Notamacropus eugenii: one gene and its partners. The protein of the gene in region 3 purifies or fractionates together with the protein of the main gene of each other region. This does not show direct contact. Links are inferred from orthologs where the notes say so. Each region holds a gene or a part of one and is shown on either strand. Other genes may lie near its edges.

What was found.
Region 1: the proteins of LRRK2 (region 3) and NCL purify together in Homo sapiens (co-immunoprecipitation; 3 studies listed by BioGRID and IntAct, with this or other methods). This does not show direct contact. The link is inferred for Notamacropus eugenii from reciprocal best matches to the Homo sapiens genes LRRK2 and NCL.
Region 2: the proteins of LRRK2 (region 3) and EMD purify together in Homo sapiens (co-immunoprecipitation; 3 studies listed by IntAct). This does not show direct contact. The link is inferred for Notamacropus eugenii from reciprocal best matches to the Homo sapiens genes LRRK2 and EMD.
Region 4: the proteins of LRRK2 (region 3) and TUBB purify together in Homo sapiens (co-immunoprecipitation; 5 studies listed by BioGRID and IntAct, with this or other methods). This does not show direct contact. The link is inferred for Notamacropus eugenii from reciprocal best matches to the Homo sapiens genes LRRK2 and TUBB.

The regions. Positions count from the first base shown.
Region 1 is NC_092873.1:58,566,072-58,574,391, forward strand, and holds the start of NCL (nucleolin), read left to right. Parts: upstream 1-4,789; 5' UTR 4,790-5,071; coding exon 5,072-5,089; intron 5,090-6,261; coding exon 6,262-6,372; intron 6,373-7,778; coding exon 7,779-8,238; intron 8,239-8,320. UniProt on the Homo sapiens protein: Nucleolin is the major nucleolar protein of growing eukaryotic cells. It is found associated with intranucleolar chromatin and pre-ribosomal particles. It induces chromatin decondensation by binding to histone H1.
Region 2 is NC_092879.1:9,699,618-9,707,836, forward strand, and holds the start of EMD (emerin), read right to left. Parts: upstream 3,619-8,219; 5' UTR 3,437-3,618; intron 3,321-3,436; 5' UTR 3,312-3,320; coding exon 3,230-3,311; intron 2,785-3,229; coding exon 2,686-2,784; intron 2,563-2,685; coding exon 2,488-2,562; intron 765-2,487; coding exon 592-764; intron 1-591. UniProt on the Homo sapiens protein: Stabilizes and promotes the formation of a nuclear actin cortical network. Stimulates actin polymerization in vitro by binding and stabilizing the pointed end of growing filaments. Inhibits beta-catenin activity by preventing its accumulation in the nucleus.
Region 3 is NC_092874.1:212,966,448-212,974,018, forward strand, and holds the start of LRRK2 (leucine-rich repeat serine/threonine-protein kinase 2), read left to right. Parts: upstream 1-4,272; 5' UTR 4,273-4,432; coding exon 4,433-4,586; intron 4,587-4,854; coding exon 4,855-4,940; intron 4,941-4,946; exon of another isoform or gene 4,947-7,571. UniProt on the Homo sapiens protein: Serine/threonine-protein kinase which phosphorylates a broad range of proteins involved in multiple processes such as neuronal plasticity, innate immunity, autophagy, and vesicle trafficking.
Region 4 is NC_092873.1:84,575,500-84,583,251, forward strand, and holds the start of TUBB (tubulin beta chain), read left to right. Parts: upstream 1-4,379; 5' UTR 4,380-4,797; coding exon 4,798-4,854; intron 4,855-6,406; coding exon 6,407-6,515; intron 6,516-6,800; coding exon 6,801-6,911; intron 6,912-7,633; coding exon 7,634-7,752. UniProt on the Homo sapiens protein: Tubulin is the major constituent of microtubules, a cylinder consisting of laterally associated linear protofilaments composed of alpha- and beta-tubulin heterodimers.

The DNA of each region.
Region 1 (8,320 bases), on a different chromosome or scaffold from region 3:
ATAACAATCTGTGAGTGAGTGGCAACTTTTCTCTCCCCTCCCTTCCCCTCTCCTCTGGTGTTCTACCCAGGGGAAGGTACACTCCTTGGCCAAAAGTTGCCTTTTTTTCTTTGGGTTTACTGGCTACATCTCTCGCTCAAAGAGCAAGTCTTAAGCCCAAATCATTCTGGAGCTCAAGACTAGACAAGTCCCCACCCACCTAACACAGACTGAATGTAATAACTAAATAGTAACTGTTTCTCTTTTACCCAGGAACCCTGAGGGTCTTCTCCTGCCCAGTTTGATTTTTTTTTTTTTATTAAAGGGGCCATCCCTTGAGTAACTTAAAGATGCTTATTCATTGAATGGGTGTACCTCACTCAAAGTGAAAATGTGATAAGACCTTAGTTTGAATGGGCCAGGGTCATTGTATCCAGGGTCATCTCCAGTCATCCTGATGAATATCAGGCCACTGGACCCAGATGGCTCAGAAGAAGAAAGTGAGGTTGGTGACCTTGCACAACCCTCCTTCACTCAAATGAAAGTCAACTGCAAGTCATGTCATCATCTTGATGTCATGGTCCTCTTCAAGAACGAAGGACAAAACTCAAAAACCTATTATCAGTGATCTGGAATATTCTTTCATGTGGCTGTTAATAGTTTGCAGTTCTCCTTTTGACATCTCTTTCCTGCCATCCTTTGAAAGCTTCTCTGTTGGGGAATTAGAGCTATCCATGTCACATGGTAGGTTTTGAGGCATTTGAAGGTCTTTGCCCCGAGGCTAGATGATGTTCCTCAAGTATGTTGTGGAGGAGATGTCTTCTGGGAATGGGGTCGGGCAGCCTCTTCCAACTCTTAATCCTAGCAAATGTAGCATTTCTTCTGCGGCTTTCCTCTCTTTGGTCCCATTTAGATGCCCAAGACTAATGCCAAGGAGTTTGAGGATGTAGACAGGGGGAGAAAAGAGAACTTTTTTCTATACATTATCTATAGGGTATTTAAACACATTAGCTCAGTGCTACCAACTGGACTAACCCACAACTTCAACATGTCCAGAAGACATTCTCTTTTCTCTCCAAGCCTCTCTTCATACCGACTTTTTTATTATTGTCAAATGCACCACTAACCTTCCAGTCATAGGCCTATTAGTGATTGGATTTTAGAAGCACTTATGAACTACTGAAACTTCTTAAGGAGGAGACTGACTTAGCAGGACCAGTGATCTAGGGAAATCATTCTGGTAGCAGCCATGTGGAGGATGCAAGAAAGTGAAGGTAGAGACCAGTTAGGGGGTATTTATTATAGTTGTTCAAATGAAAAGAGATGTGGTCCCGATAGGAGGGAAAACCAGTTGGGAGAGGGGGCAGCCTGAGAGTGAAAAGGGAGGGGAAAATGATGATCTGGTGGTACAATTCACAAAACAGAGTCAAGAAAGACTCCAGGGTTGTGAACCAGTGTAGCTGCAAAGATGGTGGTGCTCTCAACAGGTGTCAGGAACACAGGATGTCAGAATCAGAAAGGCTTCCAGAGTCTCCTTGGGGTCACGGTTATATTTTCCATATTAAAAAAAAAAAAAGCAATGAGACTTTAATGACATTTCGGATAGTTTGGGGCTTAAATATTGGGGTATTTCTTTTGTATAAATTTCACCTACCTATTCTATCACTGAGCCCACACCTCACTCTCCTCTCCAGTCTTCAATCTCTCCCTATCTATTAGGTGCTTCCCCCACTGCCTACAATCACACACTCCATGCTGGGGTGTGCTGGTAAATGTTCAGGAACCATCTCTCCAGGGGGGCAAATGTAAGGCAGGGCATATTTTTAAGTGTAATCTACATTATTAAAACTTTCTTAAGTTTAGACAATTAACAAAATAATTCAAGTTCTGATCTGCAACAATTTCCAAAGCGTAAATGCTCACATTGAAAATTTAATCATCAGCTCCCAAGCAGGTTGGAGCTGGCTCCAGGATATCCCTGCACCTGCATTTCCCCATCCTTAAAGTCCATCCCTCCATCTTAATGTCTCTCCCCTCCCTTCAGTGCCTCAGTTCTTTGGAGATCACCTACACGAGGTGCCTTGGTTTCTCCTCACTCCAAAATCATCCATGATCTGCCAATCACTCTGTTTCTCAGTCCACAGCCTTTGACACCACTGATCACCCTCTTCTCTTCATCATACTTTTCTCTCCAGGTTGCTGTTTCCTGGTTCTCCTCCTACATGTCTGACCTCTCCTTCTCTGTCTTCCCCCCTTGCCCTGGATAGCTGTGGCTGCGGACCAAGGTCTTGTCCTGGGTCCTCTTTCCTTCTCATTCTGTATTCTGACACTGGTGATTTCATCAACTATCATGGACTCAGTTATCTCTGAGTAGGTGGCTCTGGGGTCTCCTTGGGCAGCCCTAACTTCCCTGCTGATCTCCAGGCTTGCAAACTACTCAGTGGGTACCTCAAACTGAGTGTTCTGCACACATCTTAAACTGAAAAAAAGCAACTCATTTTCTTTTCCCCAAATCCTTCCCTCATCCTAACTTTCCTGTTCCTGTTGAGAGCCCCCTTCCTCCCTGTCCCTGAAGCTCACTTCAGCCCACAGACAATCAGTTGTCAAGACCTGCATTTCTCCAACACACCAGTGTCAAAGTGTGCAACTGAGAAACAGTCAGAGCAATTGGCAGATCACTAGTGGTTTTGGAGTGAGGAGAAACCAAGGCACCACGAGGTGATCTCCAAAGAATTGAAGCACTAAAGGGAGGGGAGAGACATTAAGATGGGGGGATGGACTTTGAGGATGGGAGATGCAGCTGCAGGGGTATCTGCTTTCCTTCCCTGACACCCCTCCCTCCATGCAATCACCTCTAGTGGCTCCCAATTGCCTTCAGGATCAGACACAGAATCCTGTTTGGTTTTTACAGCCTTTTGTATCCTGCTGCCTTCCAACCGTCTCAGTCTTCTTATACCTAATACTCTGAGTGCAGTGATACTTCCTCCTTGTTCACATTACGCTCCATCTCCCAACTCCAGGCATTTTCCCTGACTGTCCCCTCCACCTGGAGAGCTCCCCCTCCTCCTTTGTGTCCCCTGGCTTCCCTTGAGTTCCAGCTAAATTTTTGCTTTCCCTGAAAAGTTCTCCCCAATGCTCCTTTGTGTTCCTTCTCTCCAAGTCGGCCTCTCTCTACCTTGTTTGCAGACTGACTTCTGTATGTGGTCTCCCCCTTCTTTAGGGCAGGGACAGCCTTTCTTTGCACCCCACCGCGTTTAGCTCAGTGCCTGGTAGACTGGTATCTAGCAGGCAATTAATAAATGCTTACTGATTTAAGTTTCCACAAAAATAACCTTAGTCAATCAGATGTGATACAAAAACCTAGCTAAGATACAACCAATGTTTTCCCCTACCTACCAGTCTCATAAAGCATCCAAAAAGGCAATCTGGTCGTTGGGCCTGATTTGTTTCAATTAAGCCAGGCTGCCTCTTGGAGGTCACTGCTTCCTTGTCTAGATCTTTAGCCCTTAACAAAGGAGGCAAAGTGGAGCTCCCTGGCCTACATCTGGCAGACTCCGTTTATCTTTCCTTGGTCTTCTGCAGCCCTGGGCTTCCCCTCCCATTCTCCAGGATCCCTCTGAGGTCACATCTGCTCATTTCTGGGTTCCAAAGGTGTCACTCTTACCTGGACCTTTGAGGGCCCACGATCTTGAACCCCAAGAATCCCTGGAAGGAAACTGTACCTATCTGAGAGAACCGAGTCAGGGAGCGGCTTACGAGGCCCCACGCTGTCCTGGCTTTGGGGATCTCCAGGGGTGATGTGGGTGTCACCGAAGGGAGGGCCTCAGACAAAGGGGAGAGCTGGGTCATTTCTAAATCGTTGGCACAGACCTGGCAACATTCACACACTTCACAACTCTTTCCTGTTCTTTTCCTCTCCGTCCTGGGGAGCCGCTCACGACCTCCTCAGCTCTGCTGATTCCTCTGGGCTCTTTATCTAATGAGACTGTAGCCCCTGCCCCCCAGGGCCTGGAAGGGGCCAGCTGGGCCCTCACTGATGGGGACCTGGCCCCCAACCTCGCTCATCTGTGAAATGGGGGGGCCTAGAGCAGAGCCTGCCTCACAGCGGGGAGTCAGGACCCGGCCCCTGCAGTGCTGCCTCCCGGGGTCCTAGACTCCCTCCAGGGGCTGGTGGGTCCCTGCAAGAACAGCAGCCCACCCCCAGATGTGGGGCCGCAGGGTCATTCTGCAGATGGGGAAACTGAGGTCAGGCAGGGTTCCGGTGTGGAAAGGCGCGCGTGCGCACACGGTGTTTGATCAAGGCCTGGCTGGGGGGGGGGTGGGGCTCTCACCATCCGGGTTATCAGGCAGGCCCCGACCCTTCCTTAGCCCATTATACCGATGGGGTGCCCTGGCCTCGGGAGGCGGCCCAGCCCCGCACAAGGATGGGGGGAGGGCTCTTGGACGCTACAAGGGCCTCTTTTCATTGGACAGACGGGGAAACCGAGGCAGGTGGCGTCTGAGGGGCTGGCACGGGGTCCCGGCTTCCCCCGCACCACGCTGGGTCCCCCCCGCCCCCCGGGGTCGCACCCCAGCTCCCCTCCGGAAGGCCCAGCAGCCCAGCGGGGCTCAAGATGTCCGCCGCCGGGCGACCAGACACCACACGTGGGCAGGCTGCACCCGGCGCCACGTGCTCCACCGCACTCCGCCGCGTTCCGCCGCGTTCCATTCCGCTCCCGAGCGTGCCCCACTCGCCGGCCAATCAGCGTGCCGCTCCCACCTCGAGTCCCGCGCGCTCGCGCGCCCTGCGCCCCGCCCCGGCGCGCCCCGCGTTCCTTCTGCCCCGCCCCCTAGGCCGGACTCGCTCTGGGATTGGCTGGCGCTGGCTCGGGGGCGGGGAGCAGGAGCTGGTTGGCCGCGGGGGCGTCACGGGGTCGGGACGAGCTCCTTTCCAGTCGCGCCGAGGGGGCAGGCTCAGTCTTTCGTCTCAGTCTCAGCCAGCAAAGGGCTGCTCGCGGACGGACTCCTGCCCGCGCTCTCCACCACCACCGACGTTGCCTCGGCCTCGGCCAACGGATCTGCACCCTCCGCGCCGTAGTCACGCGCCGCCACCATGGTGAAGCTAGGGAAGGTGAGAGGCGGCGGCCTAGCGCCTCCACGCGCCCCCGGGGCTGCGGGGCCTAGCGGGCCTGAGCGGGCGGGAGCGGGGAGGAGCGCGACGGCGCGTGCGCAGCGCGGGGCTCCCGGGAAGTCTCGCGCGACTCGGCGCCGCCGTGGCCGTCGCTGCTTCTGCTGCCCCTGCGGGCGGGAGGCGGAGGGCCCTGGGAGCCGGGAGCCCAGAGCAGCGGGAGGGAAGGCGGGGAGGGAGGCCGCGCGTGCGCGCTGGGAGCCGAAGGGGGGGGGGGGGAGCTCCGGGGCGGGGGCCGCCATGAGGTCATCTCCGTGCGCCCAGCTCCCGCTGGCGCACGTGTCCAAGCCGCGCGCACGTGGGCGCGGGGCTCGCCCGCCATGTGGCCCCTGTCTGACAGACCCGAGCCGGGGCCGCGTTCGCGTCCGCGGGTGGGGCGGCATCGGGGAGGGCTCAATCCTCCGTCTCTGGGTGCGCGCGGACCTCGGGTCCCTTATCTGTCAGAAGAGCAAGTCTGACCACGTGGCCCCGGTCCAGCTGACCCCTTACGTCCCGATGTCCGACTCCTCCCTGGGGTGGCTGGGGGCGGCAGCGGCCCTGCCCTAATGGAGAGGAGCTGGGCACTGACTGCCCTGCAGGACCCCAGGAAAGTGCAGGGGATGGGGGGAATCAGCCCCTAGGAGGCTGAACTCTTAGCTCGTGCTTTCGGCCCACGTGGCCTTGCTGCGGGGAGTCCTAGTCAGCCCGAGTCAAGGGGTTGGGAAAGTCGGGGCCATGTGAGACCTCGCTCGGGTCCTGGTTCACAGTGAATGTTAAAGCTGTTTACTGGAATGTGGCGAAGTCGTTCCCTTGAAACAGGCTGGAGCCGGCACTCTTTGTTGTCTTGGAGCACTTCGCCTTTTAACCTGGTGATCTTCCATTTCAGTGTGTGGGAAGCCCGAAGTGGACCGGCATTTTCAAATATTCTGAACTTGTTGGTATCAGGAGGGAGGCTAGAAAGGGGGAAACCTTTCCAGAAGGAGGACTGCTTAACCTGAAATGAAGGGTTTTAGACCCATTTTAAAGCTGGTAAATTTTATAAGTGTAATTGTTATGGTTGATGCTTCTGAAGAGCACTTGAGAGAACTTGTGCTGCTGGAATATAAATGTTGTGCTCTTTTGGTCTTTTATTCTAGGCTGCTAAAAATCAAGCTGAGCCAAAGAAAATGGCTCCTCCCCCAAAGGAGGTAGATGACAGTGAAGATGAGGATATGTCAGAAGATGAGGAAGAAAGCAGTGGAGAAGAGGTAACTTTGCAACTTCATCCAGAAATGATTAGTTTTGTTCTGTAAAGAAAAAGAGGAGCAAACCAAGCTCTTCAGAGTTTAGAAAGGAATTTGTAGGCAAGAATTTCACTATAGCTTGATCCTGTGTAATTGTTTCATTGGCATCTGTTCATTTTAAATGTTCATTAGATGAAGAATCATTTTGGGGGGCCTGGTCACAGCAATTTTCAAATCTGGGTTTGATTTAAGGGAGAAATTAAGTAACAATCCAGACTATTTGGGGGGGTAGGCAGCTTGATTCATTTCTCATTTAAGGGCAGAGGTGAGTCTTGGGCACCACACTCTTTTCTAGGAAAGATGCTTGGTAGTACACATCTCAATGTGGAGTTAGATGAAATTTACAGGGCTTTTGTGAGCACTTTCTGGACTTTGCCCAGGGCATGTAAATGTGGGCTAATTAATGCTCGCAACTAGGCAGGACCCCTGCCAGCAGCTTTTGTTGGGCTGATTGAGTCCATTGATTGAACTAGAGTTGTGGGCTGTTAGAACAACTCTGGCACAACTAAATATGATGGGCTCACTGAGGTGATGATGTCCTTGGAAGGTAAGAAATATTCAATGTTGACAGAAAACAGTGTTGATTTAGACACTTTAAAAATCTAGCATAGCCTTCAAAAGTAGAGGTCCAGACATTAACTTGGATAGCTGGGATGTAAATTCTATCCAAAAGTGAGAAAGTACCTAAAGTACAGACTTGGCTCCTTTCCATATACTTGACTGTTTGCTGGTCTGTAAAACAGGTTAGACCAAGTTCTTTCCTAGCTCTGACATGACTTGGGAGGATTGGGAATTTCTGAATCTAGAGTCCTTAAGAGGCAGTATCCTAGTGGCAAGCTAGGATTACAGACCTTTGTTCAGAGGGTAACGTCCAAGCCCCTCCTGGGTGAAGAGCCCTGGCAAGCCCGAGGGAGATATTTAGACCAAACTCCCTCAGGGAGCTTATCCTCTAGCAGTTTGGACCGAGTTGGGTGTGCAGTACTTTATGGTAGCTGGCGTGGAACAAATTGTATGATGTACCCAAAATAGAGCAGAGTAACTAGTGGAGCTGCATTGCCCTCTTTGGCAGCCAGAATACACTGTTGGATTGAATTAGCCATGTACAGTGCCTGCTCCTCCCTCCACCTTTCCAAACAGTTTGTAGTCCAGGCCTGACTTTTGAGTTCCAGCACTTCATACCTGTGTGAGCAAGTCCTCAGGGTGCAGCTTGTAGGAGAGATGGATGGGGGGGGGGAATCAAATGACCTCCCTTGTTTGTTCTTTAGCTCCTTAGAGTCTGGCTCGATATTTTTGTCTTGAGCTGTTCTTTTTAGGTTAAAAAAATGTTTTGTGAATTGTAACACTTGGTAAATGAAAATTATTATTACTAGGTTGTAGTTCCTCAGAAGAAAGGCAAAAAGGCTGTGGTGGCCACACCAGCAAAGAAGGTACCACCGGCCAAAAAGGCTGTTGCTGCTGCCATGCCAGCCAAGAAAGCAGCTGTGACTCCTGGTAAGAAGGTGTCCACCCCCACCCCAGCCAAGAAGGCAGCAACCCCCGCCAAAGCTGCCATCACACCAGGCAAGAAAGGAGCTACTCCAGCTAAACTAGCTGCCACCCCAGCAAAAGCAGCAGCCCCTCCAGCCAAAGGGGCAAAGAATGGAAAGAACGCCAAGAAGGAGGACAGCGAGTCTGAGGAAGACGACAGTGAAGATGAGGAGGATGAAGAGTTTGAGCCTCCCAAAGTCACAAAAATGGGAGCCACTCCCGCCAAGCAAGACTCTGAAGATGAGGAGGAGGAGGAGGAGGAGGAAGATGAGGACAGTGATGAGGACGAAGAAGATGAGGATGGTAATAATTGTTTCTATTCTGATCATGGTAAAGAACTTTGTTAGCAGAGTCATAAGCTCTGCCTGGAGTGAGATTCTTTCAG
Region 2 (8,219 bases), on a different chromosome or scaffold from region 3:
GGCCCTCTGGAGAATTCTAGCTAAAAAAAGATTGTGTATACATGATATCACGTGGCAAAACTTGAACATGCTCCAGAAACATCAGCTCCTTATCATCATCATTCCTGTTATTCTTAGAGACGGTAGGGGACACCTAGAAATGGATTCCTGCTGCAGAACTGACTTGGAAAATCACAAATTCACATTGCCTACAGTGTTCTGGATCTTCATTCATTCTGTTCAATGGTTCCTAGTGACATTTTCATGGAGTTCAGAGGTCACTTAGGAGTTTTGCTGGTTGCCCACAGGCCTGAGCTAGATACCTCTGGTGTCAGAGACTGCAAGCCAGCCTCAGAACAGGAAAAGCTGGCTCCAAGTCTTACTATTCTCTGACACATGGGGTCTGGGGGGCCCTAGGTGCTCTGGGAAACTTGCTAAAGTTATGGTACCAGTATGTTGTGGCACAGGGGACTTCCTCATTGAGGAATTTGCTCCAATATCAATGGCATCACAGTCTAACCCTTCATCATTTAATAGTTGATATGGAAGACTGAAAGGTTAGCTGACTTTGGCACCTAGATGGTGGGGAGTGGGGCAGGAACTTTCACTTACCCGCTGGCGCAGGTGAAAAGTAGGTGGCTTGGAACTGCCACTGCTGTAGCTTGTGGAAGGCAGGGGTTCCTGGAAGCTGGTCCTGGTCTTGGCTGCTGGGATGGCTCCAATATCAGTCTCCCCATAAGTCTTGGTAGTTGAGTAACTCTCTTCATAGTAATTGTCATAGTCAACTAGAAGAGTCAGAGGAAGAAAAGGGTAGAGTGCCAGAGACCAAGGCTTTGGTAGAAGCAGCTAAGTGGGGCAATACCACCTGGGCACTGGAGGCACGAAGACCTGAGATCAAATCTGGCCTCAAACACTCACTAGCTGTGACCTTTCACTGCTGTCTGCCTTAGTTTCCATCCTGTAAAGTGGGGAGAATAAGAACATCTATACTCCCAGGGTTGCTGTGAGGCCCAAAGGATAATATTTGTAAAGTGCTAAGCACAGTGCCCAGCACATAGTAAGCACTATATAAATGTTGGAGGCCAAGGACTCCAGACTTGGGCTTAGAACAGCCTTGTACATTTGGAACTATGCCCAAAGGTCTACAAAAATGCGTATACCCTTTGACCCAGCAATATCACTTCTAGGACTGTATCCCAAAGAGATCATAAAAATGGGAAAGAGTCCCACATTTATTTATATTTATATATTTTATTTAATATCTATTAAATTTATTAAGTTATTATAATTATTAAAATAATACAATTATTAAATTGTTAGAATTTATTAAATTTATTATTTGATAAATATTTGTTAAATTTATTGTTGATTATTAAAATAATATAATTATTCAATTAATATAATTATTAAATTATTAGAACTTATTAAATTTAATATATTTATAGCAGCTCTCTTTGTGGTGGCCAAAAACTGGAAATCAAGGGGATGCCCATCAACTGGGGAATGGCTAAACAAGTTGTAGCATATGAATGTAATGGAATACTATTGTGCTATAAGAAATGATGAACAGAAAGACTTTAGAGAGACCTGGAAAGATTTATATAAACTGATGTTGAGTGAAAGGAGCAGAACCACACAGCCACAACCACAGTGTGTGATGAATTTTTCTGGTGGACTTAACCCACAGCAATGCAAGGACCTAAAAAAATTCCCAATGGACTCAAGGCAAAACGCCTTCCACATCAAGAGAAAGAACTAAGGAATTGGATTGCAGAATGAAGCAGACCATTTTCTCTTGTGTTATGTTTTGTTTTATGGTTTCTCCCATTCATTTTAATTCTTCTATGCAATGTGACTAAGGTAAAAATGTACTTAATAAGAATGTATGTGTAGAACCTATATAAGATTGCACGCCGTCTCAGGGAGGGAGTGGGGAAGGAGGGGAAAGATATATGGAAGTGATTGCAGAAAACTGAAAATAAAATAATTTAACAAAAAAAAAAAGAACAGACTTGCAGGCTGCCAAGGTCAGGCCCCAAGTGAGTTGCCTCCAACTATGAAATAATTACAGTCATCCTTGCTTCCCAAACTACCTGCTGTGGCTAATCCATGAAATGAGATCATGAATGAATGAATGGGCAGGCAATGTGACTGGGAGGAAAAGATGTCCATGCAAACAATAAGGATAACAGAAGCCAGCCCAGCCCAGTTGGGCCCTGGCACACTAATGCCAGGCTCAGCCAGAATCATAGGTCTCCTCCCTCACCTTTATCAGTGAGAGCCCTTGGAGCCTCGCTTGGGAGCAGCTCATATTTGTCTAGCCCAAAAGTACTGGCTTCTAGCTGCAGAGAGGGACAAGGGGTCACAGAACAACCAACCATGCACTTTGCCTCCAAACAGCCCCATGGCACTGCAGGCAGCTAGGGAAAGGCAATGCCAAACCAGGCCAGGCCCTACCACTCCTTAGGGTGAACCTGAAGCCTTCTAGGATACAGGAACCACACTCACCTTCATCACCTTCATCCATGTCCTCATCTTCATCCTGTCCCTGTCTGGAACCATAAGCTTCACCCTCAAAATCCTCTGTGGCACAACAGAAAGATACACTGTGAGAAAAGTTGCCTTCCTTAGTCACACTCCCCAAGTCATCCCACAACTGGAGAAGCATTTCATTTCTGCTCAATGAGTCCCACCCTTCCTCCTCACCTGCATATTGGTAAGAAGAGCTGGCAGTCACAGGGGAAAGCTTGGTTCTCTGACTTTCATATTCATAGATTTTCTTTTCATACAGTTTTCGGGTTGAACCTAGATTCACGGACGGACAGGTGAGTGTTCCCAGAGGTCCCAGAGAGCATCCCCCAAGTTTGGAGGGCCTTTGGAACTCAGGGGGGCCTGAGTGGTGATGGGGTGGGAAGGTGCACCCATGACGGGAGAAATCACAGAACTCCCACCAATCCACCAGGAGATCTCACGCTCTTACCGTGCAGGTGTCAATCAACAATATGCCCGATCACATTCGGTTTCAAGCGCTGAGGATCGGGAGGTGGCTTCTTGGGCATGGGACCCGCCAGAAAGGGCCTAGGTGCCCTCAGTTTACATATGGGATTGGGGGCGGGGCAGGCGGCCTCACCTACTCGGTGCCCTACCACACCCCCTAGGCTCCAGGAGGGATGGCGGAGATGTCGCCCCTTCCCTCTCCCCTCTCCCGGCTCCCTCCTCTCTCTGCCCCTCCCTCCTCGTCCACACTCACCCACGACGGGCCCGTGGGGGATGTTGTAGAGCTTCAGCAGGCGAGCGAGCTCCTGGTCCGAGAGGCCGCGGTAGTCCTCCATGGCGGACACCTAGGGGGAAGCCCGACGGGGCGGGCGCGGGTGAGCCGCAGCGATTCGAGAAGCTTCGACGTTCCTCGGCCGCCCGGCCCGCCCTGAGGAGAGAAGCCAGGGGCGGGAGTGCTTACCAGACAGGGCAGAGATGGCTGATCTCCTCAGCAAGCGAGCGAGCGAGCGAGGGACGCGACGGCGACGGCGGGCGGGCGGGCGACGACAGGCGCGACGGGAAGTGAGCGCCGGGGCGTGGTCTGGGCGTGGCCAGAGCCGAGGGGCGGGGCCTGTCCGGCCGGGGGCGCCAAGGCCCGAGCCCAGGGGCGGCGGGGGGCGGGGCTTGGCGAGCAAAGGGGCGAGGCGGGGCTGAGCAGGGACTGCGGGGGCGAGGCTGAGCTGGCCGACAGGGGAGGCCAAGGGGGCGGGGCCCAAGGCTCCAACTGCAGAGCCAAGGGCGCTAAGTGTCCATAAGGATCTCAGTGGTAGCCTAGTGCCTGTTTGCATGGCTCGTATTTTCTCGTCTTTTTATTCATTTTGCGAGGCACTGCCCAGTGCTGTTTTGGAGGCCCTTTGGTGTGGACCCCGTGGATTTGGCTCCTCAGACAGGGCAACAAAGCCTAACCATGAAACATTGTTACGTATTTTCCCCCCAGAACTTAAGAAGCATCCCTAAAAAGGATGAACCTCACCCAAACACATAGCAAAATAAATAATGCGGAAAAAATCAGGGCTCTCTAGCACATTCTTCAGGGGCCCCTGGGACCTCCCATTGTCTGGGTCTGTGGAAGGGGCAGCCACACAGTCCCTACCCCATTGATCATGCTTGACCACATGCCCTTGTGAGGCAGAGCCCTGTGCCCCCACTTCTGGCCTTGTATGGGAAGAAGCAGGAGGGGCTTTGGAGTCTGGGGTCGTTTAGGTCATTCTTCTCTCGTTGCTGACTCATCTTCAGCCCCTGTAATTGGAGAACTTGCCTGTTCTGTAGCTACATAACAACAGAGGCTCTGGGCAGAAATCTGGTAGGGCAGCCATCAAAGTTGTTGTGTTGTGGTTTGTCCTTACTCAAAAAGGACCAGGACATCTGGGAGATGATGATATGACTTGCATGGAATTGGATTTGACTGACCATCAAATGCACTAAACAGCCCCAGCTCCTTGAAACTCCCTCCCATTTCTATACAAACAAGGCCAGTGAAGGGCGCACAGTAGCTAGAACATACAAAATGGCCCTGAATCCCAAGAACCCCCTGCCATTTCTACATAAAGCTTCTGGCCAGTAAAAGAAAAAATTCACTTGCCAAAAGCACAACAGCCCAAGACTAGATTTTGCAGTGTTTTTTCTTATCCTCCACCCAGAGCAGCTCATGAAACAGTAAAATACCATAACCCCCTCCCCCTCTCCAGCCTGCTGAACTATTTTGGCTTCTGCTGCTGCAATTACACTCAACAAGAATTTATTTTCCACCAGCAGCTTTCCTTAGTTTCCATTTCACAAAATTCATGTCCCTACAAGATACTCTTGGTGGCTCCTGACCCCCTTTTCAGCTTTCTTTTGTGTATTGTGCTTGCCCCATTAGATTGTGAACTCCTTGAGAGCAGAGGCCCTCTTTCTTTTTCTTATCTGTATCCTCAGCGCTTAGCACAGTATCTGGGACATAGGAGGTACTTAATATATCTTTACTGACTATTTCTTAAGAGTTTGGGATGCATGACCAACAAGATGGCAGCCTAGATATTTTCACAGATCCTCAGGAACTCTCAGACCTCTCCAAAATGGGAATTATGAGTGGGAGCTAAAGCAATTTCAGCTCTCTACAGGGTATAAGACATCAAATATCCAAACAAGGTAAAAACTAAATTAACCAACAACAGAAAAAGCCAACATTCCCTACCCTCTAATGAGCCCTCACCCAACATCCCCTCCTCTGCCATTCACTAAGCTCCATTCATTGGCAACAGACCTCAATTCCATACCCACCCCCAACCCCCATCCCTACCCACAGTGCAGTAGAGATCCAAACTCCAAATAGCAGAAGTTCACTCAGGCTGTCATAGCAGCATGGCAGCATTCTGTGCCATCGGACCAGAGAACTGAGGGACAGAGAGAATGGGCAAAAGGGGGAAGAGGAAGTAAGAAATGTATGGCACTTCATTGAGCCTGAGAAAAAGAGCCCAGCATGCAGGTGTGGCCAGTTCTACCCACTAAAAGTCATTTGGAGCAGAGACCTAGTAAAGGCTAGTAAACCAGGAATTAACCAGCAAAGGAGGCTGAGACACTTAACATCCAGCCCCTATGAAAACCATCAAAGGGGAGGGAGTGAGAAAGTAAGCAATAGAGGAAGGAAGCTATTTTTTAAAAAGATTAAAAGTACCAGAGGAAGAAGCAGATAAATTGGTCATGAAGAGCTTTGAAAGTCAAACAGAACATTTTGTATTTGATCTTGGAGGCAAAAGGGAGCAACTGGAGTTTACTGAGTACACTGGGGGAGGAGGTAGAGGGTGACAACATAATCTTACCTGCACTTTAGGAAAATCATTTAGTAGCTAAATGGAAGGTGGACTAGAAAGGAGAGAGATGAAGCAGGCAGACCCACCAGCAAACTATTGAAGTAGTCTAGAAGCACGGAGATGAGGACTTGCACAAGGGGGATGGCAGTATCAGAGAAGAAAAGATGAAATATTAGAGAAATATTGCAGAGATGAGATGGACAGATCTTGATAACAACTTGGATATGGGGGGGGGGGGTGAAAGATAGTGAGGAATCCAGGATGACTCCTGGACTGAGAGACTAAGGTGCTAGGAGGGTGGTGATGAACTCTACAGTAAAAAGGAAAGATGGGAGAGAAGAGAGAGGGTTTAGGGGGACAGAAAATGAGTTCTATTTTGGATATATTGAGTTTAAGATGTCTACTGAAAATCTAGTTCAAGATGTCTGAAAGGCAGTTGGAGATTAGAGAGTGGAGACCAACAGAGAGATTGGGCCAGGAAAGGAAGATGTGAAAATGGTCAGCATAGAGATGGTAATTAAACTCATGGGATCTGATGAGATCAGCAAGTGAAATAGTGTAGAAGGAGGAGAGAAGAGAGCCAGGACAGAACCCTGAGGGATTTTAAGTGTCCCTCCAGTGGAGGGTGTGATTTGGATTAGGATCCAGCAAAAGAGATAGACAAGGAGATGTCAGAGAGGTAGTAGGATCCCAAAGTAGTAGTAAGATCCCAAGTAAAATCAGTGTTTAAAAGAAAGAACCCAAAATAGGAACCTCAAAAGGCTTAATTCCACAAGATACACAGAGAAAAGAGAATGACTAAATAAATTTGTGGGCCATGAATCAAAGAATAAAGGTCTAAACTAGGCAGAAAGGGAAGATAAGTGATGAAGAGAATGAAAGAAAGAACTTCTTTTTAGAAAAAAGATACAGGAAATAAAAATTTTAAAAACTAACAAAGCACTGATCAGGAGGAGAAAAAAGAGAATTCTACTTGATTACTTAACCAAGAGGGGGAAAAGAAGGGAAGAATTAAATAAATAAATTTTAAAAAATAAGAAACTAATAAGCAAAACTCCAAAAATCAGGAAAAGGAGCAAAAAATAGAAAATGGGACTTGTGGATGAAGGGGGAAAAGCCAGTGGGAATAGGGCCACCTTAAAAAAAAGATTAAGGTAAAATAACTGAAGAGACATTATACTGTGTTTAGAATGGGAAAAAAACCCGTAATTTGTAGAAAAACAGCATTAGGAAAAACTGGAGGAAAACATAAACCCAATTTGTAGCTTTAAACGTGATTGGGTTAAACAATCCATAAAATGAAAGAAAGTGACAGATTGAATAATAAAACAAAACTCCACAGTCTGATTCTTACAAGAAACATATTTTTTGAAAAAATGGGGAGGCAGAGCCAAGATGGTGGAGTAGAAGGACAAACCTGCTCTATGTCTCCCCCCATTGCCCATAAATACCTGTAAAAATGACTAAACAAATTCTAAAGCAGCAGAAGCCAAAAAATGACAGAATGAAACAGATTTCCAGCCCAAGACAGCCTGGAAGGCCAACAGGAAGGGCCTACTGCACCAGGTTCAGCACAGAGCACAGCCTGGTCTTGGCATGCAGCAAGGACAGGACTGGAGCATGTCTCAGGGTGCGGAAGCATGGGTAGCAGCTGAGTCTCCCAAATTTCTCAACCCACAACACCAAAGATAGTTTCAAAGGTCAGTAAGAAAGCTCTTTCACCTGGATGGGAGGGGAGCATGATCTGGCCCCAGCCCTGGCCCCAGGGCAGCAGCAGCCACTGCAGCAGCAGCGTCCACTTTTAGAGCCCTTGGCCTAAAGACCCTGGGGGAATCAAAGAGCTGATCTTCGTCCCAGTCCAGAGTAGCAGTCATGGGGTGAGAAGGAGCACTGGTGCTGGAGTGGTGGAGCAGGTGGTGACTGTGGAGAGGGAACCCTATTCATAATTTCAGGACAGAAATGAGTGATTGTGGTTGCTCACAGATCAGAGTACAGGCCAGGAGATTGTGCCCTTAATTGTGCCACCTTAGAGGAACTGAGAACTTACAGGTCCCTGGAGTATACCCTCCACTTGACAAAGGACTCAAAAGTCAAGTAACTGGCTGGGGAAATGTCCAAAAAAGGGGAAAAAAATAAGACTACAAAAGGTTACTTTCTTGATGAAAAGGTATTTTCTTCCATCCTTTCAGATAAGGAAGAACAATGATTACCATCAGAGGAGGACATCAAAGGCAAAGCTTCTACATCCAAAGCCTCCAAAAAAAATATGCAATGGTCTCAGGCCATGGAAAAGCTCAAAAAGGATTTTGAAAATCAAGTAAAAGAGGTGGAGGAAAAATTGGGAAAAGAAACGATAATGATGCAAGAAAATCATGAAAAAGAAGTCAACAGCTTGCTAAAGGAGACCCAAAA
Region 3 (7,571 bases):
TACAAATTAACACAAGAGAATACTTATTAAAACCATAAAATCCTTATTGAGCACCCCTCTTAGATTAGCCTGTAACCTGTCTAGCAGAGATGTACAAGTCCACTTATGAGTTTATGTCTAGATCCCCCTTTTTCTTCAGAGAATTTATTGGCACATCCCACCCAGTGCTTTCCACTCCAACTGCAATAAGCAGCAAACTGATTCTCCCCAGCCTTGTGAGGAGGTACCTCTTGGCTGTGAAGGAAATGGCTAGGGAGCCCCAAAATAGCAGAAACTCTCTCCAGAACACCCTCCACACTTCCCTCAAACTTCAAAACATGACTGTGGCCCCACCTCAGCTGAGAACTTTTTTCTCATATTCTACTGAAAAAAAAAAACAACTGAGGCCCTTTGCTCAGAGTCCCTTCTCCCTTTCTCCTTGTCTGATATCACTCAGATGGCTTCTGCCACTATTTCTTGACCCCAAACACACATGTAGAGGTTGTACTATTTTGACAAGGCAAACCTCTCCATAAGGGATCCCATTCCAATCTGCCCCATCTGACAAAATATCTGTCAGTCATCCCTCCTCTCTCACTTATCTTCAATCTTTCCCTGTCTACTAGCTCTTTCCACAACCTAAAAACATGCCCATGTCTTCCCTATCCTCAAAAAAACCTTCAATTGATCCTTCCATCCTTACTATCATCCTATATATCTCTTTTGCCCTTTGTATCTGAACTCTTCAAAAAGATCATCTGCAATAGATACCTCCATTTTCTTGCCTTCTTAGCCTTTTACAATCTTTTTTTGATCTCATCATTGCATTGAAACCACTCCCTCCAACATTACTAATGATCTTCTACTTGCCAAATCCAGAGGCTTTTTCTCAATCCTTTGACTTTGCTGTAGCCTTTAATACTATCAGTCTCTCCCACTTGATACTAACTTCTCTCTAAGTTTTCAGGACACAACTTTTTCTGCTTCTCCTCCTGCTTATCAGACTCATTCTTCTTAGTCTCCTTTACTGGATTATTATTCAGGTCATGAGTGTCCCATAAGATCCTTTTTCTGTCCTAGACAGACCTTTCTCTCCTTCTGTACTACTTCATTTGATGTACTCATCAACTCCCATGGATTTAATTATTATCTCTGTGCTGATGATTCTCAAATCTACTTATCCACCCCTAACCTTTCTACTGATCTCTAATATAACATCTCCAACTGCCTTTCAAACATCTCAAACTAGATATCAAATGATATCTTAAACTCAACCTGTCCAAAATGGAAGTCATTATTTTTCTCCCTAAGTCCTCACCTCCTGTAAATTTTTATTTTACTGTCAAAAGTAGCACCATCCTTTTAGTTGTCTAGGCTTTTAACCTAGACATCCTCACTATCTCTGCCGGTTGCCAAGGTCTGTTGATTTCACCTTTGCAACATCTCTAAAGTGTATCCCCTTCTATCTTCTTATAGTGTCACCAGCTTGGTGCTGGCCCTCATCACTTACATCTGGACTATTGGAATGCCTTGCTGGTTGGTTTCCCTGTCATAAGCTTCTTTTAAATCCAATCCATCTTATCCATTCAATCACCAAAGTGATTTCCCTAAAGGGCCAGTCTGATCACGTAATGTCCCATACTCAATTAAGACTCTAGTCTAGTATCCTAGTTAGAGGGAGGTATCCTTTCCTAGGCCTTTGATGATAGACTTATTATCAGGTTGGTGACTCCACACTCTGTATAGGCGATCAGAATATACAGAGAACTCTTTTTTGTGGTAATGGTCTTATATAGTCAATTTTTCAAGAGTGTGTTGGCCCATTCCCATCATGGGATCTTCCTGGGCAGGGGATTTAGGATGTATCTTCAGAATGGACAAGGTTTGCAGTATTTGGGGTCATGGCCTGATATACTATGTGTGATGTGGAGTTCTCTCTCATGGGTTCACTGCTGCATAATTTTCTCATTATTATGGCCTATGCAAGCATGAATTCATTGGGCAATGGAAACTATCTGAGCTGCACAGCCCTGGTCAGCTCATTTATTCCATAACATTTTTGTGAGAAGGGACCTTTCTTGTGGGCAGAGACACGAGTAACATGGAGTATTCATTTGCTGAACTTGGAGGTAGCTGCTTCTCCACAGTGAGGCTACCTAGTCAGTCAGTTGGTCACTGGCCTGAACATACACAACTAGGAGACCTTATTTCTATCTAAAGTGTAAACATAATCTAATCCAGGTAGATTTCAGCCTCATGGCATTAAAAGTACACCCTGGCACCCCTTCATTATAGTTTACTGTAACCCAGCTTATGAGGGCAAAAACCAATTAGTTTGTTCTGGGGAGAGATGGATTCCTCTATTCAGATTGCTGGAGGAGGCTGCATCTCATGACCAAGCCATGTTTTTAGTAGAAGGATCTGAAAACTTTTTCCCATCTTGGTAGGATTCTACCAATCAGGATTGATTTCTCCAATCAGGGGCATGCTCTTTCAAAAAAAATATTTAAAGCATTCAGTGTCTCCCTTAAGTGTCTTTGGTTACTGAGAAAAACCATTAATCATCCATTTATTGATTATCAGCTAGCTTAATTCATAAATTGTTTATTTACACAGACACTGCTTCAGGTTATTCATTTTTGTCATATTCCTAGCTGAATTGTGAAGTGCTAGCAACTTCTGGTGGGGTATGTTACACTGACTGTCATTAAAACTTGTTCATCTGATTTGTGCTGGCCTATCCGTATTAGCTAGTTGAACAGATATCTAAATTTATGCAACATCAAACTGATAATGCCTATGTTGTGGCTGGGCTTTTGACTCAGTCACTCTTAAACACATGGAATATAGATTTTGCTGACCTATAAGTATGACTGGCAGGAAGCCTTAAAGCCAATGAGCAGAACAGGAAACCAGCCACCAAGGCTAGTCAGGGAGTCAAAGAGGGGGCTGCTGGCTGGTTTGACATAGAGGGATATGACAGTATGGAGTTCATACAGTGGAAGTATAATAGAATGGGGAAAAGACAGAATAACACAAAAAGTGAGAAAGCTAGAAATTCCTCTGGGACTGTCTTGAGAAGATTTTGAGAGTCCTTATTAGCTACTGCCAAAATAAACCAGCACATAATAGAGACAAATAACTGCAATTTATTTATCCAAGAGACACTATCAGTAGGTAATGGACATGTGTCTGACAATTCTGCAGATTTTACATATATATGTATATCTATAAATACATAGAAAGTCTATATATGCGTGAATATATACATATATACGTAGACTCTATATATGTATATATATGCGTGTATGGGCATCTAGACAGGACAGTGGATAGAAGGAGGAATGGAGAGGGAGGGAGAGAGAGAAGTTTTTTTTATGTTAATGCAGCATCATTTACCTGTCTTCAGAGAAATTAGATGGGATGCAATTGTCACATTTGTCTATATCTCCAATATATTTGTCAACATCTCTAACATTTCAGGAAATATCTCTGGGCTTCTGGGGAGAATTTAACATCTTTTCAAATGCCTCCTCCAATGGCTCAAACCCAAGAATCACAACAAAATCCATGTGATAAAATTGAAGTTGGTCTCATCCAAATTAAAAAGCAAAACAAAAAATCCCGAGCTCAGGCAGTTTCTTTTGGACAGTGATTGCCATCCCCAAATTCCAGAGCCATGCCTTTATTTGCATTCTCTCACTGTTGTGAATTCTTCATGCCAAAGGTTGGCTACGTTCTTAAATAGTTACAAAATTGAGGACACTCATGTTCAGTTAATGTCAGGATTTAAATCCCAAAGTGTTTGTCCCTTCCAAGGGACAATGCCTTTTCTAACAAAATCTTGGCTTTCTATTTGTAAGGAAGGAACTAAATTACCATGCCTTTCTTTCCTAGGTTCCCTGAGCTCTTGGAGGCTTTCTCTCCCACTCCCTCTCCAGTCTGTCTCTCCCACTCCCTCTCTGAGCTGTCACTCCCCTGTAGCAATCTCTTGCATTCTAACCAGAATTCCTCTGCTCTGCTGGTTAGGGCTAAGTAATCCTTAATCTTTTAAATCCAGCCTACTGGAGTCCATCTGCCTTGGTCTCTGGGCAGGTCAGTACTCCTGGGGACCAGAATCCAGGCCCGACTGGTGCTCTAGTTGCAGTAATTTTGGATTTATGACAGACTGGATTAGAAGATGCCAGGATTAGCGGCTTCTAGCGGCTTCCTCTTATCTCCTCCCCTCAAAGTTTGCATCGAATTCATTTTCCGGCCCTGGGGTGGGGCGCTAGGAAGACGTAGAAGGAAGGGCGGGGTAGGGGCTGTTTTCCCAAACAGGCCAAAGCCACAGAGCATGCCTGCATTGGGGACTTTCTGGAATCCGCTGGGTCAGCCTTCCCCAGTTCAGTCTTGGAGCACTCCGGCTCAGAGTTAGGGGCAGGGGGCACCTCGGGAAGGAGTCGGGTCCGTCATGGCCAGTGGCTGCAGCCTCGGGGATGAAGAAAAAGAAGAGGAAACTCTGAAGAAATTGATAGTTAGGCTGCAAAATGTGCAGGAAGGAAAACAGATAGAAACCCTGATCCAGATACTAGAGGATATGCTGATGTTAACGTACTCTGATCACGGTAATCCTGTAGTTGTTTCCTTTTTTTTTTTAAACTTGGGGCAAATATGGCAATAGAAGGAATATAACCACGTCCGTAAAAGCACGGGCCCTTCCAAGGAATCTTCTTGCAGACAGTTTTCTGCATTGGCTCAGCCTTTTCGGGGAGCACAGATCGCTTTTAGGAAAAGAATTGAAAACGAAAGGACTTGCTTTCTCTTATTTTCTTTCATTCTTCTGCTTTTAAAAAGCTGCAGCGAATAATAGTTTTCGTTTGTTTTCTTCCCCAGCTTCCAAGTTATTTAAAGGCAAAAATGTCCATATGCCTTTGCTGCTTGTTTTGGATTCCTACATGAGAGTCGCAGGTGTGCAGCAGGTAAAATACGCTTGATTTTATCTTTTCCCTTTCCTTTTTGGAAAGAAATATTTTAAACTCAAAGATCTTGGGAGAAACTGTCCTAATGAACCCCTTATATACTTGGTCTTATTATTAAGAATACACTGTTTTTGTGCTTGCTGTGATTTTTAAAATGGTGAGGGTGTTAAATGTTTTTTGAACATTTTTTTTAGTGCAAAAGGATAGTGACTCATTGAACTAGCCTTTAAATAATAGCATAAAATACATTGACAGATGACAATTGTAGTGGAATTGTTGGAGGAGGGAGCTAATAAGGTGGAGAAGCCGGTAGGTATTAGGGGAATGAAGATGATCTCAGGTGAGAAATAAATGTATGAATACAAATATTTAACCATTTATCATGGTTCAAAGTGTAGTACTGTAGCTCATATGGCCACTAAAATATTTAGCCAAGTTAATCAGTTGTGTTACATATTGTCACACAACAAAAAACTCCTTTTTATCTTTGCATTTCCCGCAACAGTACAGTGTCTTTTACTTGGTAAGTCCTATGTTGCTGTTCAGTCCTGTCTGACTCCTGACTCTTTGCGATCCTGTGGACCATACATGGTTGTTTTCTTTTTTGTTTTGTTTTGTTTTGTTTTTGGCAAAGATACTGAAGTTGTTTGCCATTTCCTTCTCCAGTGGATTAAAGCAAATAGAGATTAAATAACTTGTTTTAAGTCACACTGTTAGTAAGTGCTTGGGGTCATATTTGAACTCTGGTTTTCCTGATTTCAGACCTAGTCTAACTACTTAGCTTCCTCTAAGTGCTTAAAAATGTGAAACCGAATTAAGATATTAGCTATATTGTTAAGATCCTCACTTGGGATATAAAATTTTTCCTTAGTACTGTTCAAAAGATCTTAGATGTAGAACTGGAAGTAATCTCAGGAGTTATCAAATCTAATTCATGTTACAAGTTAGGAAACGGAGTCACAAAGGATAACTAATTTGATCTAGGTCACTCAGACATTAATATTAGAGGGAAGGTTCCAGACCCAAGCCCTCTGACTCCAAATCCACTTTGTCATACATATAGATTGGACTCAGTAATATCTCTTATTGCTACTCTTCTTTGTTTCCATCCATTGACTGAGTTTGCTTTGCAGTATCTAGAGAGTGCTTTTGTGCAGTGCTAACACTGCAAGTTATATTTCATTTGTATTTTATGATCAAGTCCAAAGACAACTAGGTAATTTTGTGTAGTACTTTACATGGCAAGAAAAACACATTCTCTTTTCCCCGTTACCATTTATTTTTTTTCAGTTTGAGTTGAGATGTAAGCAAAATAAAATTAAAACAAAGATATGATAAAGACTTTTTTATATTTTTCAACACTAGGTTACTATTAGACTAAAATAAAAATTTCCCCTATGGCATATTCCAATATTTCATTTCAGCAACACATTTATTAAATGATTATTTTCTATGAAGTACTGTGATAGACCTAAACATAAAGATAATTAAAACATAGTCCATGTCCTCTGGTACTTATAGATAGATTTTTGATTTTGTTGTAGTCTGATGACCTCTCATGTTAACTTTTTCAGTTAAGTAAGTTTGTGTTTATCAGGTGACCGACATTTCCCTTCTCCAATTAATGTTTGAATTAGGTCTAAGGTAATTGATGGTATCAAGAATCCTCTGGAAACAGTCTGGTGTGTAAGCTGGATTTTATCTGTACTGTCCATAGGAGTTGTTAGACTGAAGTCCTGGCATATGTCTGAAACCCTTATATCTTCCTAGACACTCTGCAGATCAGGGAGCTTAGTATTGTACCCATATCTTTCTGAGGTAGTTCAAAATTGCATTATACTCTCCAGTACAGGAACATTTGATGGGTCCTGTGATAAAGGCACTCAAAAGTAGGTGTAACACTGCCAGTGTTCAGGGCAGTGGAAGACTGACTTAAAATTTAATAGTTTATCATTTTCTCATTCGGTGGATAGAATTCACAGTACCTCATTTTAAAAAGGAAAACAACCTCTTAGAGTGGTTGGTGGTGGTAGTGGTGATGATGGTGGTGGTGGTGGTAGATGTGGTGGTGGTAGTAGTAGTGATACCATCACAACTCCTACAAATAATAATGGTGCTAGGCACTGTGCTAAGTGCTTTACAAATATTATCTCATCTGATCCTCACGACAACCTTGGGAGGTAGGTGCTGTTATTACTGTCATTTTACAGTTGAGAAAACTGATGCAAATAGGTTCATAGGATAGAATTTTTCACTGTTTTGTTTTATTTTTTGTCATGCCAGACTATATGTAGAAGGAGGTCATAGTCCTGCTGCACATAACCCTGAAGACACTTGAGTTTTGTGTTATGTTCTGGGCAGCACAGTTTTAGAAGCACATTGATAAACTGGATTTCTGTTAAGGTCATCCAGAAGGGTGAAGAGCCTAGAGTTCATGTCACTTAAGAACTGACTGAAGGAACTAGGAATGTTGAGACTGGATAAGAGAAAATGTGGGATAAGGGTGGTTTAGGGTGTTTATTTGAAGGGTTGTCATCTAAAACAGGGATTAGACCTGTTATGTTTGGCTTTAGAAAAATAAAGCTAGGAGTAATAGGTAGAAGTAGCCAAGAGGTAAGTTTAGGCTGGATA
Region 4 (7,752 bases), on a different chromosome or scaffold from region 3:
TTTTTTCCACATCCCCTTTAGCATTTGTCATTTTTCTTTTTGTCATGTTAGCCAATCTGACAGGTATGAGGTGGTATCTCAGAGTTGTTTTAATATGCATTTCTCTAATCAATAAGGCTTTAGAGAATTTTTAATGTGACTATTGATAGCTTTGATTTCTTCTTCTGAAAACTGCCTGTTCATATTCTTTGACCATATCAGTTAGGGAATAGCTCTTTTTTAATATATAAATTTGATTTAGTTCATTACATATTTGAGAAGTGAGGCCTTTATCAAAGAAACTTGCTATAAAGTTTTTTTTTTCCCATCAACTAGTATTTGTTAATTATGTGTCTATTATATGTCAGGAATTGTGCTAAGCCCTAGGGATCCAAAAAAGTCCACAGACAAACAAAACTGGGCCCTGCTCTCAAGAAGCTCACATATTAATGGTGGGGGGGGGAAGGAAATAACATGCAAATAATTGTGTATAAACATGATATATATATAATATATTATAATATATAATATAATATATTATTAAATATATACTATAATGTATACTATACTATAATATAATAATATATAATGATATATATATATATATATATGATAAATTGGGCATAACCTTAAAGGGAAGGCACAAAGAGAATGGAGGTTTGGGAAAGAGTTATTGCAGAAGGTGGGATTTTAACTGAAATTTGAAAGAAGCTACGGAAACTATGAGGTGGCTGTAAGGAGGGAGAGCATTCTAGGCTTGGGAAACAGGCAATGAAAATGCCTAGAGTCAGGAGATGGATTGTCTCGGAACAACAGCAAGGAGGCCAATGTCACAGGACTGCCAAGTATGTGTAGAGGAATAAGGCGTGAGAAAACAAGAAAGGTAGAAAAAACCAAATTACAAAGGGCTTTAAAAGCCAAACAGATTTTATATCTGATCTTGGGTATTAGGGAGCCAGTGGAGTTTATTGAATAGGGAGATGAAATGGTCAAATCTGCCCTTTAGGAATATCAATTTGACTGCTGAATGAAGGATGGAGTGGAGTGGGGAAAGGCAGGGAGACCAACCAGCAGGCTATAGAAATAGTCTAGATCTGAAGTGAGGAAGGACTTCACCAGGGTGATTACGTCAAATGACCCCAACTATTGAGGAAGAGATTCACTGTTTGACAAAAACTGCTAGTAAAACTGGAAAGTAGTCTGATTTAGACCAACACCTCACATTATTTACCAAGATAAGATCCGAATGGTTATATGACTTAGATTTAAAAGGTCACATAAATAAAATGAAGGAGAAAGGAAGAAATTACCTTTCTTATCTGGATAGGGGAAAAGTCTGTGACCAAAGGATTACATAAGATAAAATGGACAATTTTGACTATGTAAAATTAAAAGTTTTGCACAAACACAATCAATGTAGCTAAGCTTAACAGAGAGATAGTTAAGTTTTGCAGTAAGTTTCTCTAATAATTGTCTCATTTTCTGGATATATAAGAAATTGATTGGAAGAATTAGTCATTCCCCAAATGACAAAGGATATGAACAAGGAAGTCTCACAGGAAAAAATACAAGTTATCAATAGCCATATTTTAAAAATGTTCCAAATCATCAGATCATCAAAGGTGACAAAAAAGGAAAACGGTAAATGTTGTAGGAGCTCAGGGAAAACAGATATATGCATTGTTTGTGGAGTTTTTTAATTGGTCCAGCCACTCTGAAAAGCAATTTGGAAGTATGCCCCCCAAAAGTTACTAAATTGTGCACATGATTTGACCCAGCCATACAACTTACTATGAAGAGAGAGGGAAAGAACCCATATGAAAATGGGTTAATGGGAAAAACATTTGTAACAGATCTTTCTGAGGTAACAAAAAATTGGAAAGTAAGGGGGAACTATCTACTAGGGGAATGGCTAAACTAATTTTGGTATGCAAATATAATGGAATACTATTCTGCTGTAAGAAATGATAAAATGGACAGTTCTGGAGACTTTTATCAGCTGATCTTAAATGAACAAGAAGAACAATTTGTACCATAACAACAGTGTAAAAATAAACACATTGGAAATACATAAGAATTCTGACCAACACAATGACCAATTATGATTCTAAAAGACTGTTGGTGAAGAATGTTACTCGGAATGGACCAAATATGCAGAATAAGACATACATATTAAAACATTGCCAATGTAGGAATTTATTTTACTATTCATATTTGTTACAAGGATTTTTTTTCTTTTTTTCAGAATATTTTTTTCTTTTTTCAGAATATTCCCTATTCAGTGGGAATAGAAACAACAGAAAAAAATGCTTGTAATTTTAAAAGTAATTTATTGACTGGAGAGTTGCTGAACAAATTGTGGCATACAAATGTAATGGAATATTATACTAAGAAGGATTATTGGGAAGTGATAAAGTGTAAAAAAACAAAACATAATAAAACATCTTTTAAAATAGAATAGGGAATGCAGATCTTACAGACTATTATAAAGCCACTTAACTCAGGCCTGAACAACTTGTGGCAAGGATTTCTTCTACATACAAAGGATGTTTTCCTGTACATTTTTTTGTAGGTTCCCCCCCCCCCTTTCCCCCAAATCCTTTGGCATGCTATAATCAGTCTGAGGGTCGTTAGCTCCCAGGGCTGGTTGTGCAGGCCTGACAACTTCTCAGTGCCCTAGGTAATTCTCTTAAAACTACAAGTTGCAGAGAAGTATAGATTTTTACTAGTGGAAGAAATTCACTGTACAAAAGAAACCACAGGTCCAATCCCAGTTCTCTAAATGGGCATAAAACCTGAAATACCTACCTTCAAAATAATATATGTATATGTAAATACATGCATACACACATATGTATATATATGACTTACTGTTCTTTGTGTTATTATTCAAAAATAAAATATTATGTGAATACTATATATAGTATTATACATCATATGTAATAATATATTATATATGTATGTATATATTATATAGAATATTATATGAAGCAGTCCTATATGTAACCAGAAGTCCCAGTTCACCTAATTTTCAATAAGGAAATGATTACATCACTTGCTCCTTGGACAAATCTCACCACTGATAACATGATATAACTTTCTCCTACTAGGACTATGGATAACGGATAGAGTGCTGGACTCAGAGGTAGGAAGATCTGAATTTGAACCCTAAGTCATTTTAACTTCTACTATCTGTAAAATGAGAATAAATATAGCACCTACCACACAAGGTTGCTGTGAGAATCAAATGGGATGACATATATGTATATATTATACATATATTGCTATGAAAACCCTGTAGTATTTTATAAATCCTAGTTATTTTATAACATCACTCTAAAACAGTATTATATCTCTCCATGCCTCTATGTTCCATGGAAAAGTGACCCTATGAGAAATGTCTGAATTTGAACTAAACTCATTTCTTCTCCCTCTGTCCCCAAGCCCAATCTTTCTTCCTTCTAATGGTCCTCATCTCCAGCTCAGGTGCCTAGGAAGGGTTACCATGGTGACCATGTTGCTATGACATCCACCATACTAGGGACATTGATTTGAATGGGGTGTGGAAACAGCTACCTCCTATAAATTCATTGATACTTTTTAAGGGTCCTACATTTGGGGAGGCAAGATAAAAGTGCCATGAAAATGTATGAGTTATTGAACCCCTCAGCCATTTTCTCTCCTTATCTCAGCTTAGACTTCCCTGGATCAATTACCGCAGTTCTATTCATAGGAATACACCTCAGGGACCCAGGTATCTGACTTCCCAAGAGTCAGGTTTTCTTTCACAAATTCATTATACATGTCCCTTCCAGTCATTTTTTTTTTTGACAGATGCATCTGTGTCCTGAAATGTCTCTAGCGTAATTTTCTCTTTGGGTATTTAAAATACCCTTATCCAAAAACGCCCAAGGAAATCACCCACTGAGCAAAAACCACTACTCCATCCATTGTGACTATCCCCTGAGAGGAAAAAGAGGTGGATTGCTGAGATGTGTGGGTGATGTAGATCAGTGAGGCAAATAAGGATGGGGTTGAAGATCGCAAGAAAGAACTGGAACTTCGGGGTATCAGAGGCTAGACACCTGAGTCCTGGAAAGATCAGTGAGTCCTGTAACTGTCTATCCCAAGCTCATACTTGGTTCTCCCTACATTTCTTTGAATTTAGCAGGCCAGTGGTAGGAATGCTGCAGCAGGAAGTCCCAGGACATACCAATCCTGAAATCACATCACTACCTCGCTTCCCTAGACTTTCCACTTACTACAGACCTAAATCCTAGTCTCCTCTAATGTCTAATTGAAAAAAAAAAAAAGACCTCAAAACAGTGGAATGCCATGCCTAATTTTTTTTTTATTCATAAAAAAAATATCCCACACCCACCCCACTCCTCCCTTCTTCATTTTGCAGCGTGGACAACAATAGAGAACTACATTTCCCGGTGAAGATAGCGCTTGATCCCCGGAGGAGCGGCCAATGGGTACCAGACACTTGCCTGGTATGGACCAATCAGTTCTTCTTTAGACAGGCTTTGTCCACGATATAGCTGGCGCCTACCTCTTCATGGTTCCCTCCCCTCAGGCCACGCAGCGCAAGCGCGACCCGCCCTGCTTCTCCTCCCTCGCTTCCCCTCCCCCCTTCCTTCTTTCTCCCTCTCAGAACGCTTGTGTAGCTGTGTTCTGAACTAGCAGCTCCAACCTTCCGGGGAACCTTCTATTGAAAAAGAGCTTGTTCAGCGGAAAGGAGAAAATATATATATTTATATATCATTCTCTCCTCCCTGCACATAACTTGAGACAAAGCAAAAGTAAATTCCAACCATGAGGGAAATCGTACATATCCAGGCTGGCCAGTGTGGCAATCAGATCGGTGCAAAGGTAAGGATTTTGATTTTACATATTCTTTTCACCTCCATTGATTTTTTTTTTTAAAGGAAAGAAAATTTAAAAGATTTCCTAAAAAAAAAAAGTAGTGGCGGGACTGTCGCTAGCTCCCGCTCCCTGCCCAAAGCAGCACGACCCAACAAATAAATAATCTAAGCATTTCTTTGCGGCGGGAATTTTCATTAGAGAAATCTGTAGCTTTTCTCCCCTTATTCTCTTACCTGGTTTAGTTTTGTTGGCGTGTCGCAACCTGGTCCTTTCTATCCGTTAAGAAGGGACCAATAAAATTATTTAAGATTTTAATGGATTAACTGGAAGGTGTGTCTCTTTCCCCTTGTGGTTTTGGGGCTGGGGTTGAGGGAAGGTGTAAAAGGGATCTCTAAGAGACTTTTGTGTCGGAGATGGATGAACGGAAACGCGCGAGACAAAGCGAGGCCAGTGCTGTCCCATGTGCATCTCTGCCTCTCTCTGTCTCTCCCCGCCCAAAACTGTGACTCTTGCCCGAATCCTAAGGGAAAGGTGAGGAGCTGCATTGTGCACTGAGCTGGAGAAAAAGGGGATGAAATAGGAAGGTGGGGTTTGGGGGGGACTCGTAGTCCACCCTCCCCCCCAAAAAATATATGAAACGTGGAATTTTCCTAATTTCTCTCGTTCTCCTTTGTGAGGTGGAAGGGTGAGGGGACTTTTCCCCCTTCCCTTTCTGAAAGCCCTCCCTTTAAGGGCGGGAGCGGGGGTGGGGTGGGGTAGGGTGCGAGTTCCCGCGCGTTGTCTAGTGTTCCTTGTGGATAGTTCCACAAGGACAAAGAGTTAAAAAATGGGTGACAAGGAAAGCGAATCCAATACATAATGAGAAAAAAAATGGAAACTGTAGCAAAGAAACAACATTTTAGGGTAAAAGTGATCCTTCTCCCTGCCCCCCAGTTCGAAGATACTGTGTAACGGATGGGGGTTGAAAGGAAGTGGGAAGGAGAGTTTGCAACGTTGTGGCAAAAGGGCGGAGCCCGGTTGGGGCGGGGCAAGAACTCCCTTGCGCTCCAGGGCCATGCTGGATAGAGGAAAGGAGCCCCACCCTTGGCTCCCATTGTCCATCATTTTCCCCCTTTCCTTTCTCGCACCTCCCACAGCCTCGCTCTATAGTGAGTTCTGCGGGATGGGTGGGTAGCAGCTGCAGTGCCTTTTTCTTTGTGCGCATCGGAGGGGCGTTGCCTGATGGGGGAAGAAGGGGAGGGCGACAGTGACCTTTATCTTTCCTAGCCAGAGACCCAGGCATCTGGCCTCAACCGTCCTCCTGGATTACCTGGAATGAGTCGGCCTCCTTCAGTCCTATTATCTCGTGCATTTATAGGGCAGGATAATCCTGTAACAAGCTTCCTGTGCATCCCATCTGTTCCAGGAAGGGAGGGGGAGGAAATCCCCTGGGTTTTTTAGGGGAAAAAAATGACTCCTGGATTGAGCAGTTTTGGAATTGAGAGCCTATCATGAAAGTGGGGGAGGAGAATTTTTAATCGATTTTTCTTCTCAACTTTTTACTCGTCTGTCTGCCTAGTTCTGGGAGGTGATAAGTGATGAACATGGCATCGATCCCACTGGCACCTACCATGGGGACAGCGACCTGCAGTTGGACCGGATCTCTGTCTACTACAATGAGGCCACCGGTGAGGGGCAGGAAGGGAACTCTCCCCTCGATTCTGCCTTCTGAAATAGGGGGGAACCATTTACCCTTGGGAGACTCTTTCTCCACTTTCCAGAGGCTCTGGTCATCTTCCTCTTCGCCTTTACGCACACACCCCCCTTTCTTCCACGGGTAATCGCAGACTAGTTCTCGACTGCCACCTGGTGGTAAAAACTAGAATGGAAGCGGGAGGGCCACGTATTAAGGGACCCCCGGAGCCCTCCCTTTCTTTCTCCAGCCTACACCTACTCTGCACTTTCTCCTACAGGTGGCAAATATGTTCCCCGGGCCATACTGGTTGATCTTGAGCCTGGAACCATGGACTCTGTTCGTTCTGGACCTTTTGGCCAGATATTCAGGCCAGACAACTTTGTTTTTGGTGAGTTGAAGTGAATTTCTTAAATAATGTAATGAAAAAGGGTAGAGAGGTGGTAGCTTTGCCACTGGGAAAGTGGGTGGGGAAGAGAATATTTCATTACTGGCAGTTACCCCAGGTAAATTCCCAAATAATCATCACTCTTGAATTTGAAGGTTCTTCATTAAGAAGGGGTTTGAATCCCCTGGATAGGTTAGGATCTTGTGGAAGTAAATTTAAAACAGAAGCAAATTAACATACTGGTGTTTTCAGATAATTGAGGAGTCTTTAGGGGGATCTTATCAGTGCAGAATGATGGGGGAAAGGAATTAGAAACTTCAAAACTGGGATACAGGTTCAATGTAGGTTGTGGCCAGAAGAGTTCTAGAAAAGTAGGGGTGACCTGGATGGAGGCAAAATAAGGGGAATGATTGAGGGGTTGAACATTAGCTAAGAGGATCTCTAAGGCAGTAATGTCAAACTTAGAAAGAGGGACCACTAAATTAAGGATCCTTGCTGGCTGCATATTTGGTTAGAAAAGCACACATTAATGTTATCTGTGTTACTATATTTCAATTTTTATTTAAATATTTCTCAATTATATTTTAATCTGGGCATGTCTGACACCTCTGTTCTAAGGTATAGGTGGATAAAAAATCTTAGGTGATAGGGGAAAGGGTTGGTGGTAGTGTGGGATATCACAGCATCCCTTCCTCATCTACCCTGCTTCCCACCCCCAATTCCAGGCCAATCCGGGGCAGGCAACAATTGGGCCAAAGGCCACTATACCGAGGGGGCAGAGCTAGTGGATTCAGTCTTGGATGTGGTACGAAAGGAGGCAGAGAGCTGCGATTGCCTGCAAGGC